2 linked regions of the Arabidopsis thaliana genome follow. The protein of the gene in region 1 interacts with the protein of each later gene in a pairwise test. Each region holds a gene or a part of one and is shown on either strand. Other genes may lie near its edges.

Region 1 (5,445 bases):
GGTTTTGATTCATCACCCGGCGGAGAACAAGGTGGAGAGGATTTACTGGTCAGTGACAGCGAGTGACATCATGAAATCCAATCCTGGTCATTACGTTGCGGTGGTGGTGACGTCACCTACGATGAAGAACGAGAAAGGTTTGCCACTGAAGCAGCTTAAACTCCTTCGTCCTGACGACACTTTACTCATCGGACATGTCTATCGTCTCGTCAGCTTCGAAGGTATATATATATACACTCTTAACTCCATTTCTCTGTTTCTGATAAATAAAATGATCTATAAAGCTGTTGACAATTTTATATCATGCAGAGGTTTTGAACGAGTTTGCGACGAAGAAATGTGTGAAGCTTGGCAAGTTATTGAAAGAAGGAGGAGGGCTTGACTTGACGAAGAAGAAGACGAAACACAGGAAGAAGAAGCTGGATCAGGAAACGGGCAAAGTCAACCCGAATTCGGATCCGAATCCGAACCAAGATGGCGCTGATAATGCGGTAAGTGCATGTTAATACTCTCATCGTCCAATTTTTTCTTTTTAACATTTAAAATGGATCCTTAATTTTAGTTCTAGTTGTGACATGATGAATAAGATATTTATAGATGACTGTCCTGGTCACATTACTCTGATCGCTTTATCCTTTTATCATTTATGTACGAATGCTTAATTTAATTCGACCGATCTTATAGGTCGCCGGAGAAAACGGGGGAGATGGGTTTATGAGGAGGAGCCACGGTGGAGGAAGAGGTGGTGGTGGGTGGAGGCCAGCTTTACACAGCATTCCGGAATTTGGATCCTCATGAGAGCTCTTGATCAAAAGCGTAGATATTCTTAAAGCAACTATCATCCGACAACATTGAAAGTTTTATGTAAAGCGATGTTACTGTTTTCTGTGGCTTTAATGAGATTTCAGTCTTCGACAAATGTTTTCAAGAACTCTAATCGTTTTTAACCTATTAGATACAAATATAAGGCACATCCACAATACGAATTTCTTCGAATTTTCGCATCCAAATGCAAAACGAAATAGTTGGTTGAAGTATAATTTTCAGGTATGCATAATTTATTTATCAACCGATAATTGAATTAGGCTCATCTTTAATGGAAATTTAAAGTGGAAAAAAGAAAGAAAAAGAATTAGGCCCATTCAAACTTCATGTTTTGTGACATGATTACTTCCAACTAATTGTATATTTGTTTCAATCCAACACTGTTTTTTCCTGCTTAAATGTTGTCTCATGTATGTACCGGACCTACTGATTGTATAACCGGATTTTTTTTGTTTGCAGATTCAAGATTCCACAAATCATTTCTTTCCTTAAACAATGTATGTAATAATGAAAAGTGTAAACCGACAGTTCGTATACGTTTGGATATCGTTGTTTGTGTTGGACCTAATTGGATTTTTACGTCATACCGTATTATCCAATCATAACGTTTCATGTGAGGATGTTAGAATTAAACAACCAGTCAAGAGTCAACTAACTTGAGCGAGTTTTAAGGCAATGGTAATAACTGGATAAACTATAGTTTTACATTTTAATTTGTAAGAAATGTAAATGTAGTATGCTTTTAAAATATGGTTGGCAGATCATTTGGTCGGCCTTTTTTGTCAATCATAGTTACGCAGTCAATAATTCAATTAATCACTAATGCATCATTCCATTTTGTTCAGTTAAGTCGACGTAACGTAATTAACGGCTCAATCATTTTCAGTCTCTTCAATAGTCCACCATTAATCATCCAAGCAACCATATTTTCTAAGCATCACGCATTGGACGTAAAATTATTTTTTCTTCACTAAGAAATAATTCAGAACTGGGTGACAGTCTGACAGAATTCGTCTCGGAAAGCTGAAGGTTTAAAGAGAAAGCCAATATCACACTTGAGTTTTTAGAATTATTATAAAAGAAAATGTTAAACTCTGTCATTGGGCCACATTAGGCCCATTTACAAGGCCGACAATACACGGTTTTTTATATTCTTTGAATTTACCATAAATACCCTCAGGATTTATTCTAATTTGCTTTCCGCGCCCTGAAACTTTTTTTATTCCTGAAACCCACAAGGAAGAAATCGATGGGTGATTATCGTCTTCTACGAAACTCCGGCGTCGTTATCGGAATAATCTTGCTACATCTCTTTACTTTCGCCTCTCTTGTTTCATCCGATGAACTTCAGTTTGGTAAGCTTTTCTAATTTTGTTGGTTGAAATTTAGGGTTTATATCGCTTAAGTAATTTTGAGCTCTTGAGTACTCGAATTTGAGTGCCAGAATTCTACTTTTCTTCTATGACCCGCTTGGGGATTTCTCCGCTTGAAGGTGTTGTGGTTAATTTCTTGTGGCCTTATGGGACAGTTGTGGGAGAAAGCGGAGAGCTTCAAGTGACTCCTAGTTTAGAGGTAAAAGGTTCTCCTGGATTGAAGCCAGATAGAACCTCTCTTTGTGAGAGGATTCATATCCATGGACTTGGAAGGTTTAAACATCTAGACAAGTATGCACATTCGCTCAAGTTGATAGTTAACGCGTCAATCTCTGGGAAAACAAATAACATTGACGTTTGCTTTCACCGGTGAGTCCTTCGTTTATCTTTTGCTGTTGGACTTAAATTCTTGATATTCCTGTAAGTTCGTTGGTACATAATAGATATCACTAAATGTTGTATGTTTGAAGGAATTTGTCGCGTGGAATTGGAATGTGCCCTCATAGTCGATGGGAGAAAGCCTCTAAAGGTTCATGGGTTCAGACAATGTCACCCTTCGACCATAAAATCCTTGATGTTAGAGTACCTAGCTCTAACAAGGTCTCATTGGAAGTGTCTGCTGTAGAAGGTGCCTTTTCTGTTTCCTTTTATTGCATTTTCTTTTCTCTTTTCTAAGCTATCTATTTTCTCTTTGCAGAATTATTTATGCATCGCATAGTATTCTTACTCCTTGGTGCTGTATTACTGGCTTCGGCTTCTACACTGAGCCAATCTTTAGCGTTTTACTACAGTAGTGCAATGGCTGTTGGTATTATCCTTGTCGTGCTGCTTGTTCTCTTTCAGGTAACCTCATTTTGTTTATCGTGTTGACCTGTAGAAGAGAGTGTATTAACCCTCTGATTTCGCCTTTGTTATGTGATGTGTTCAGGGAATGAAGCTTCTACCTACTGGACGGAGTTCGTTTGCATTGTTCATATACTCAACCCTGGTGATTGTTGAATAATTCGTCTTTTCTCTTGCTCCCCTGTTTTCTCTGACCTCCTTGTTTTATCTACCACTCACAAGATTATTTCCTTCTTTCCAGCTTGGTTTGGGTGGTTTTCTTCTTCGCTACTTACCCGGATTGTTTGAAAGTCTGCTAACAGAGATGGGAATCGACGAAGAAATGTACACACCTGTATGTAAGTTTTGATAATGTCAATACATTGCAGCTGCTGTAATTTTAGCGTGTTTCATGCATCAGTCAGCATTTGCTGGTTAAAAAGCCCATTTTAAAGATTTAATCTGCATTTTGGTTTTGCAAGGCGGCGATTTTTGTGGGGGCGTTTCTGTCTTTGGGTGGAGCATTTTTTGGATTTTGGACTGTGAGGAAACTTATTCTGACGGAAGATGGCTCCATTGATGTTAGCACATCACTATTTGTTTCTTGGTCCATCCGAATTATGGCTGCTGTTTTGATCCTTCAGGTTTCTTTCAGTGTCCCTCAATCTATACTTATCCTTTTAACCAGTTGATCCTTTTAACAAGAATTTGTTGTTTACAGAGCTCTGTAGATCCTTTACTTGCTGGAGGAGCCCTGATATCTGTAATTCTTATGTCATCGACTTTAAAGAAGATCACCAGATTGAAGTTCCTTCTACGCTTATTCGAGTGAGTTGTGACCAATCTCTTTGATCTTTTTCCTTCAACAAACCAAACTATGTTTGATTATACAGCATCCATATCCCTGAAAGTGTACAGTTTTGAATGTAAGTTGGTTTCTTTTGGACAGGATTCCATTGAATTTACTGCTAGGAATCTGGGAGGCAATTCGTGATACTGATATACCATCCGTCCCGGGATATCTCCATGACTTTATGCAAAAGAGTCCTGATGCTTCTGGATTTCGCAACCGTGTAACTTCTGCTTCTCCATCAGGAGGTTTGATTTGTTATCTCTATCTCAAATTACAAATTAAACAAGTTGAAACAAATAATAAGCTTGTGTAATGATTCTTTACAGGAATCAACAACGGGATGCGAGAATCTCCACCGTCTGAATCAGATACATTTCCTTCCTCTTTCCATAAAACTCCTGAAAGGAGCCAACTAACAAAAGAAGAATGGAAAAAGCTCACTAAGGATAGCACGACAAAGGCTGTTCAAGAATTGGTTTCTTCACCCGATTTTGGCAAATGGGCAGCAGTTAATGCGGATAGGATCAATGTAACACCAAGAAAAGGATCTTCTAGCAAAAACCAGCCACGGAAATGGATGCGTTGGTTCTGATTTCTGAACCAAGCCGGTTTAAGTTTCATAACGTTTAGAGAGAAAAGGAACTCTTTTGTAGAAAGAGAGAGAGCCTTTGTAGGTAAAGTTGCTTTCTTCTTTTATGACTTGTTCAGTGTTTTAGCTTTTTTTTTTGTGGATGAGACCACGATTTGTTGTAACGATCCTAATTGGGTTTTTAGGTTGCGTCATGTTTGTGTGTAGACAATGCAATGAGCATTCTTTTTCCTTTTATGATCTTGAATGGGTTCAACTTTTCATGGTGATGTGAATCTTTTAGTATGGATATTAATATTCGAATATTACAATATGATTATCTATGACATGGGAATATGGACTAACATGTGGGTGGATAAAACTCATATTTTTCTCGAATTCTGAAATTCTCTCAAACTTTTATTCAAGCGAGGAAGTTGTATTATATTTGGTTTTCTTCTCCTATTATGATAGTACAAGGATAACGATGGATATTGAAAAATTGACGGAAATGTATTCATTGTATTAGCAAAAGAAGAGGGTAAATTATGTGTCAAATAGTGATTTTAACTTCATAGTAACTTAAACTTTTTTTTGTCAATTTGTTGACATAATTTGCTTAATTCTTTTGAATTTGAAACATATGATGCAGCATTTTGGAGTTAGAATTTAAAACAGTGTAAATTTATGATTACTAAGAACCCCTTTTCTGATATTTTTATTCCATAATTAATGATTCTAGTAGTAGAGTAGTTGAAATTAAATTCTTGTACGGTCAAGTTTCTAGCACATTAGAAGAAGATCACCTAATTTTCAAAGAAATTTAATCGTAATCTTTATGATGCAAGAAAGACTTTATTTAAAGAATATTTCCTTTATTTTCTGGTTCCTTTATTAAATTAAAAGTATATATCATTATTCCTCACCGGCATAGCTTCGTTATAAAGGAAAGGAACAGAGTTTGCTTTTAAACAAAGAGAGAAAGAAAAAAAAGCTCAAAGAAC
Region 2 (5,153 bases), on another chromosome or scaffold:
AATCCTTCCTTTGCACCAAGGCCTCACTTCATCACGCGTATGTCCATGGCAGATGTTATAGTATCCGTATGCTTGAAATGCGACAAAAGGAAGACAAATGCATATGCATCTAAGAAATCCAGCAATAAAAACCTGCATAGCTAACTGGGTAGCGAGAAGAATCATTAGGCTACCATACCTTTAAAGAGTTGACAGCAAGTTAAAGAGACAGGCTTTAATCATTACATGATTAACCAAGCAGATGTGATTTGAGACATACTAAATCAAGAAACTATTCCAGTGCAACCATGAACTAAAGAGCATACCAGCAGAACAGTTAAGTAGGAATCCATCAGATAGAGATATAAAGAACAAAGTAACTAAAAATTGTTCGAGTTCTCCTTTTCTATCTTCTAGAAGGATCTTAATTGTAGGAAATAGAATGTTTCAGATTAAGCATACTACCGAAAAAATCCGGAGTTTGAATTGCAGCAATAGTTCTGAAATTTGAATGAAATATGTATAACTTACATAAGCACGCCGTTTCTGATATAAAGCTTCATATGCTCGATGCATTGTCTGGAAACAGATATAACCAGCATTAAGAATTCCATTGGACCTTGCACAGCCTGAGAGAGCAAACCAAAGAACGCCTACATTGCTGGTACCAGATAACAAGTGATACACTCCTCCAATAGAGAAAAGAGCATACAAACTTTCTGAATATCTGAAAGTCACAAAGAAACAGTTTGGTCTTCAGTTAGTTACCATTCTGATAAGACTGAACATATTTACTTTCAGCAAATGAACTTAAGAGATCATTGGCTTAAACACATTACATTGACGAATAAAATATGGACGCCGGATTGAAACAGAAGATAATCGAAGCTCTGAATGATGCTTCAGTATCCTTCAAGATAATAACTGAAACCCTGTTAGCAACGACTGGTGTAAGACACGGTGAATAGCAAACAGCATTAGCTTGTAGAGCTCAAAAGACTCTTGACTTGACTTATTTCTAGACACAATAATCGATTTAGGATGAATGTCAAAGAAGTACCTAAATAGATAGATAGCAGCAAATATGAACGCCAAGTTACTAACAGTGAAACCAGACAACACCATCACAGCTCGAAGACCAATCAATGGAACCAAAGGCGCAAAAACTGAATCCAAAAAGAATCAGTTACTACCGGAATGATACAACCAAAGTAAGGAATCAAGTGGGTAGATGTCTAAATTACAAAACCTGTGCGAGAGAGAAGCGAGATGAAGAAAGGAAGCAGAGGCAAGAAGGCGTAAGTCTGCTCATACTCATAGCCACACTCTGTGATTCGGAGAAAATAAACACTGTCCCAGACAACACTGTTCTCAAGGGATCTCGAAGCTGCATTGGCTACTAGAAACGGAAAAGAATCTTCTTTGTGATACAAGCAAGGAGGATTCAGTGCAGCGGATGTATCGTACGGTTGGAGTAAGCTCCGCCACAAAATGGTTAAGAAGAGAACGAGAAGTCGCGAGAAGATGGCGTATTTGATCAAGATGGTTTCTTTCCTTGATTTCGAGTTTGATTCCAAAGCTTTCGCCATTGATCACGAGCTCGTATTCGAGTATAAAAAGGCGACAGATGGTTCTCGATTGCAAGAGTCCGGTGACGATTTGTGATTTTCGATCTTCTCGTCGGAGAAGAATGTGTTACTCTCTAAATGTAAAAGAGAGTTTCAATTTAATAAATGAACCGGTCGGTTCAATAAAAGGGAAAGTCACCGGTTTTAGAAAATTGTTCCGGTATTATCCGGGTCATTAAGACGCTTTGATCGGTTCAATCCAGTTTTAAAAACGCTAAGATGAATGTAGCGTTTGTGAAGCTAATTAAACGAGCCACGTCATCAAGACATGTCAACAAAACGCGTCATAAGCCCAATCACGTGAGGGCTGGTAATTGGTAATCGCAAAACGTAGATCGCCATAAATTAAATTTCGAACAGACAAAAAAAGAAAAGAAAATCAATAAATAATCATTTAGTCCCTTTGTTTGATAAACCCTTTAATTGAAAAAAAAAACAAATTACTTCTCTTTCCTTCGATCATCGTCTTCCTCTGGTTCTCAGATCTTTGAATCGAGCAGAAGCAATTTTAAATCTCCTATCAGGTTTCTCTAAATCCATGCTCAAGTCTAATTTTACGTTTTACATTTGTTCAATTTTGTATGAGATTTGCTTCCGTTTGGGATCGGAACTTTGAGAACGTTCTGAAGATATTACTTTACTGTGTAGCTCTTGAATCAATTTTTCCGTTTGATGTCTTGTATTGATGTTGTTATTAGATCGTTAATTTTCTTTCCGTAGATGATGAATGTGGATTATGCTGAAATTCGTTATAAACTTTGGATTTGATGGTGGTGAATTGTCACAATGTAGAAAACGAAAGCTTTTGATTATAGAATTTTCTTTGAGGTTGATGTTCTCTGCTATATTTGAATCTCACGTTTGAATAGTTCGTCTTGTTCAATATCTGAATGCAAATAGAGATAAGCTATTTCGAACACTCATTGTTGAAAAATCAAAATAATTCATCTTCTTAGAGTATTGTGTGTTCTTACAGAACCCAAGTTTTAAGCATCTGTGTTTCAATTACCTGGCTTACATGTTCTGTCTTGATGATAAATATTGGTTTTGTGATTTTAGTGAGTTGCAGGATTCATATTCTTGTTTTGAAATTTGTGATAATTGCAGTGAATTTTTATTACTGGAGAAGTAATAAGGCAAAGATGGTGAAAATGACATTGATAGCTCGTGTTACTGATGGGTTACCTCTAGCTGAGGGGCTCGATGATGGACGTGACTTACCGGATTCAGATATGTATAAACAACAGGTCAAAGCTTTGTTTAAGAATCTGTCCAGAGGTCAAAATGACGCTTCAAGAATGTCCGTTGAAACTGGCCCCTATGTTTTCCAGTATCCTTAACCTCTGGTTTTTTCTTCATTCCTTATTAGTTCAGTTTCTGCTGCAAAAGTTTGTTGATTGATAGATATAATAAGGATTGTAGAAAGTTTACTTTGATTTACTTAAGATTCACACTTTTGACATCCTTGTACATTTTTACCAGTTTTTGGCTTAGTACACGTTTCAATCCTCTTGCATTATGTTTGAAATCTACGTTGTCATATTAGTATGCTTGTATCTCAAAGCTAAAGTTTAAGAAAGACCAGATATGTATGCTTCCTTGACCAGAAAACTTTAGTTACATCATAGAAGGACGTGTTTGCTACTTGACAATGTGTGACCGCTCTTACCCAAAGAAACTCGCTTTCCAATACCTGGAAGATCTCAAGAATGAATTTGAACGTGTCAATGGGCCTAACATTGAAACAGCTGCTCGGCCTTATGCCTTTATTAAATTTGGTATGTGTAGTGTAGATTTTTCTGTACATTCAGTATCTTGGAAACATACCTCTCTGGATTCACTCTTTTTCCACTTTGCCTTTTTTTGTAGATACATTCATACAGAAAACCAAGAAACTGTACCAAGACACTCGTACGCAACGAAACATCGCCAAGTTGAATGATGAACTCTATGAGGTTCATCAAATAATGACCCGGAATGTGCAAGAAGTCTTAGGTGTTGGTGAAAAGCTGGACCGTAAGTCAACATCCATTACTTCTCCTATGATCATTATTTAAGCTTTTAGAATAAGGAGAAATGGAACACTAGTTTTGCGTTTGTTATAATCAGCTGAGCAATATGCTTATCATTTGCCATTTTCTCTTCTTGTTTTTTCTTAATGCAGAGGTGAGCGAGATGTCGAGCCGGTTAACATCTGAATCTCGTATATATGCTGATAAGGCTAAAGATTTGAACCGTCAGGTGAGTTTGATTGTATATTACCTTATATTACACATTGCAACATTGATCACACGGCTATGAGATGCTCTCATTCCTTGTGAGCTTGACATATTGTAGCTTAGATAGTTAACATATGGTTATGAAACATTGAATTTGGTTGACCAGGCTTTGATCCGAAAATGGGCACCAGTCGCAATTGTGTTCGGTGTAGTCTTCCTCCTTTTCTGGGTCAAGAACAAGCTATGGTAAAAAAAAAAGGAGGAATCTAAGGCTATTTTCGTAATTTAGCGGACTTCTCCAGACATATGTCGACCTCCCCTACCGGACTCAAGTCTCAGATTCCGGCACCCAAAATATCTTCTTTCTTTCAAAGAGAAACTTTGACACATTTTGTACTTCTGTAGTATGCAAACTTTATGAGACTGGTCATAGTATCATCCATTATACTCTTTTCAAACCTTCATTGTCATTTTCTCAGGCTTCTTTTAAATTGAATTAGAACCACAATTAAAGTAAAACGGATTGGGTTTGATTTCATACATATATCTAACAAAATCTGAAGAGTTTACACAGGCTATTTTAGCGTCTATGTGACCTCAAATGTCTCTTAAAATCTTGTGGACCAGCCAAATCTAATGAGGAAGTGTTCTTCAACTCATCTGAAAGCTGCAATGCACTCTGAAAATCTCCTGACTTCTTCAGACAATCGATTAAAGCTCGGTAGACATAAACCGATGGTCGAATCTGTCTCTGCTTCATCTCATCGAAAAGCCTCAACGATTCCTTAACGTTCCCAGATCGACCCAAACTGTCTATCACCGCTGTATAACTTAGCAAATCTGGTTCAATTCCACATTGAACCATTTCATTGTATATCACCAAACACATATCGAATCTACAAGCTTTCCTCATCCCGTTTAACACCGTGTTGTAAGTAATGATGTTTACAGATACACTACAATCTTCCTTCATCGTTGACAAAACCCCCAGAATCTCATTCACAAGGCCAGCTCGTCCCAAGATATCCAAAACCGAGTTATATGTGATCACATCTGGTTTACATTCCCACTCTTTCATCTCCTTAAGTATCATAAGAACCTTATCGATCTGTCTAGTTTCAGCAAATGCAAAGATGATTCTGTTCATTACTATTAACCTATACGGAAGTGAAGACTCTGATATCTCTTTAAGCAGACTCGTCAAATACGTGCAATCATCCGTGTTAATGAATGCTCTAGCAAGGTTGAGATAACAATCTGAACTCAATGGTTCCTTACCCGGCAAGATCAAGACCTCTCTGAAGACTCTACAAGAAAGCTTCATATC

Evidence for each region.
Region 2: the proteins of AT5G67610 (region 1) and SEC22 interact in a protein complementation assay, tested with the Arabidopsis thaliana proteins (one large-scale study listed by BioGRID).

The regions. Positions count from the first base shown.
Region 1 is NC_003076.8:26,960,244-26,965,688, reverse strand, and holds AT5G67610 (transmembrane protein (DUF2215)), read left to right. Parts: upstream 1-2,050; 5' UTR 2,051-2,074; coding exon 2,075-2,180; intron 2,181-2,317; coding exon 2,318-2,567; intron 2,568-2,668; coding exon 2,669-2,826; intron 2,827-2,895; coding exon 2,896-3,041; intron 3,042-3,126; coding exon 3,127-3,186; intron 3,187-3,282; coding exon 3,283-3,375; intron 3,376-3,502; coding exon 3,503-3,664; intron 3,665-3,741; coding exon 3,742-3,848; intron 3,849-3,969; coding exon 3,970-4,118; intron 4,119-4,199; coding exon 4,200-4,465; 3' UTR 4,466-4,758; downstream 4,759-5,445. Other genes in the region: AT5G67620 (DUF4228 domain protein), read left to right, coding at 1-221, 310-491, 685-798.
Region 2 is NC_003070.9:4,008,760-4,013,912, forward strand, and holds SEC22 (Synaptobrevin family protein), read left to right. Parts: upstream 1-1,997; 5' UTR 1,998-2,131; intron 2,132-2,300; exon of another isoform or gene 2,301-2,714; 5' UTR 2,715-2,749; coding exon 2,750-2,937; intron 2,938-3,224; coding exon 3,225-3,385; intron 3,386-3,476; coding exon 3,477-3,623; intron 3,624-3,771; coding exon 3,772-3,848; intron 3,849-3,992; coding exon 3,993-4,076; 3' UTR 4,077-4,345; downstream 4,346-5,153. Other genes in the region: AT1G11880 (transferases, transferring hexosyl groups), read right to left, coding at 1-144, 511-706, 819-911, 1,040-1,145, 1,229-1,568; AT1G11900 (Tetratricopeptide repeat (TPR)-like superfamily protein), read right to left, coding at 4,407-5,153. UniProt on the Arabidopsis thaliana protein: V-SNARE involved in vesicle trafficking from the ER to the Golgi complex and required for early secretion. Involved in endoplasmic reticulum (ER) biogenesis and functions as well as for Golgi-stack integrity. Essential for gametophytes development.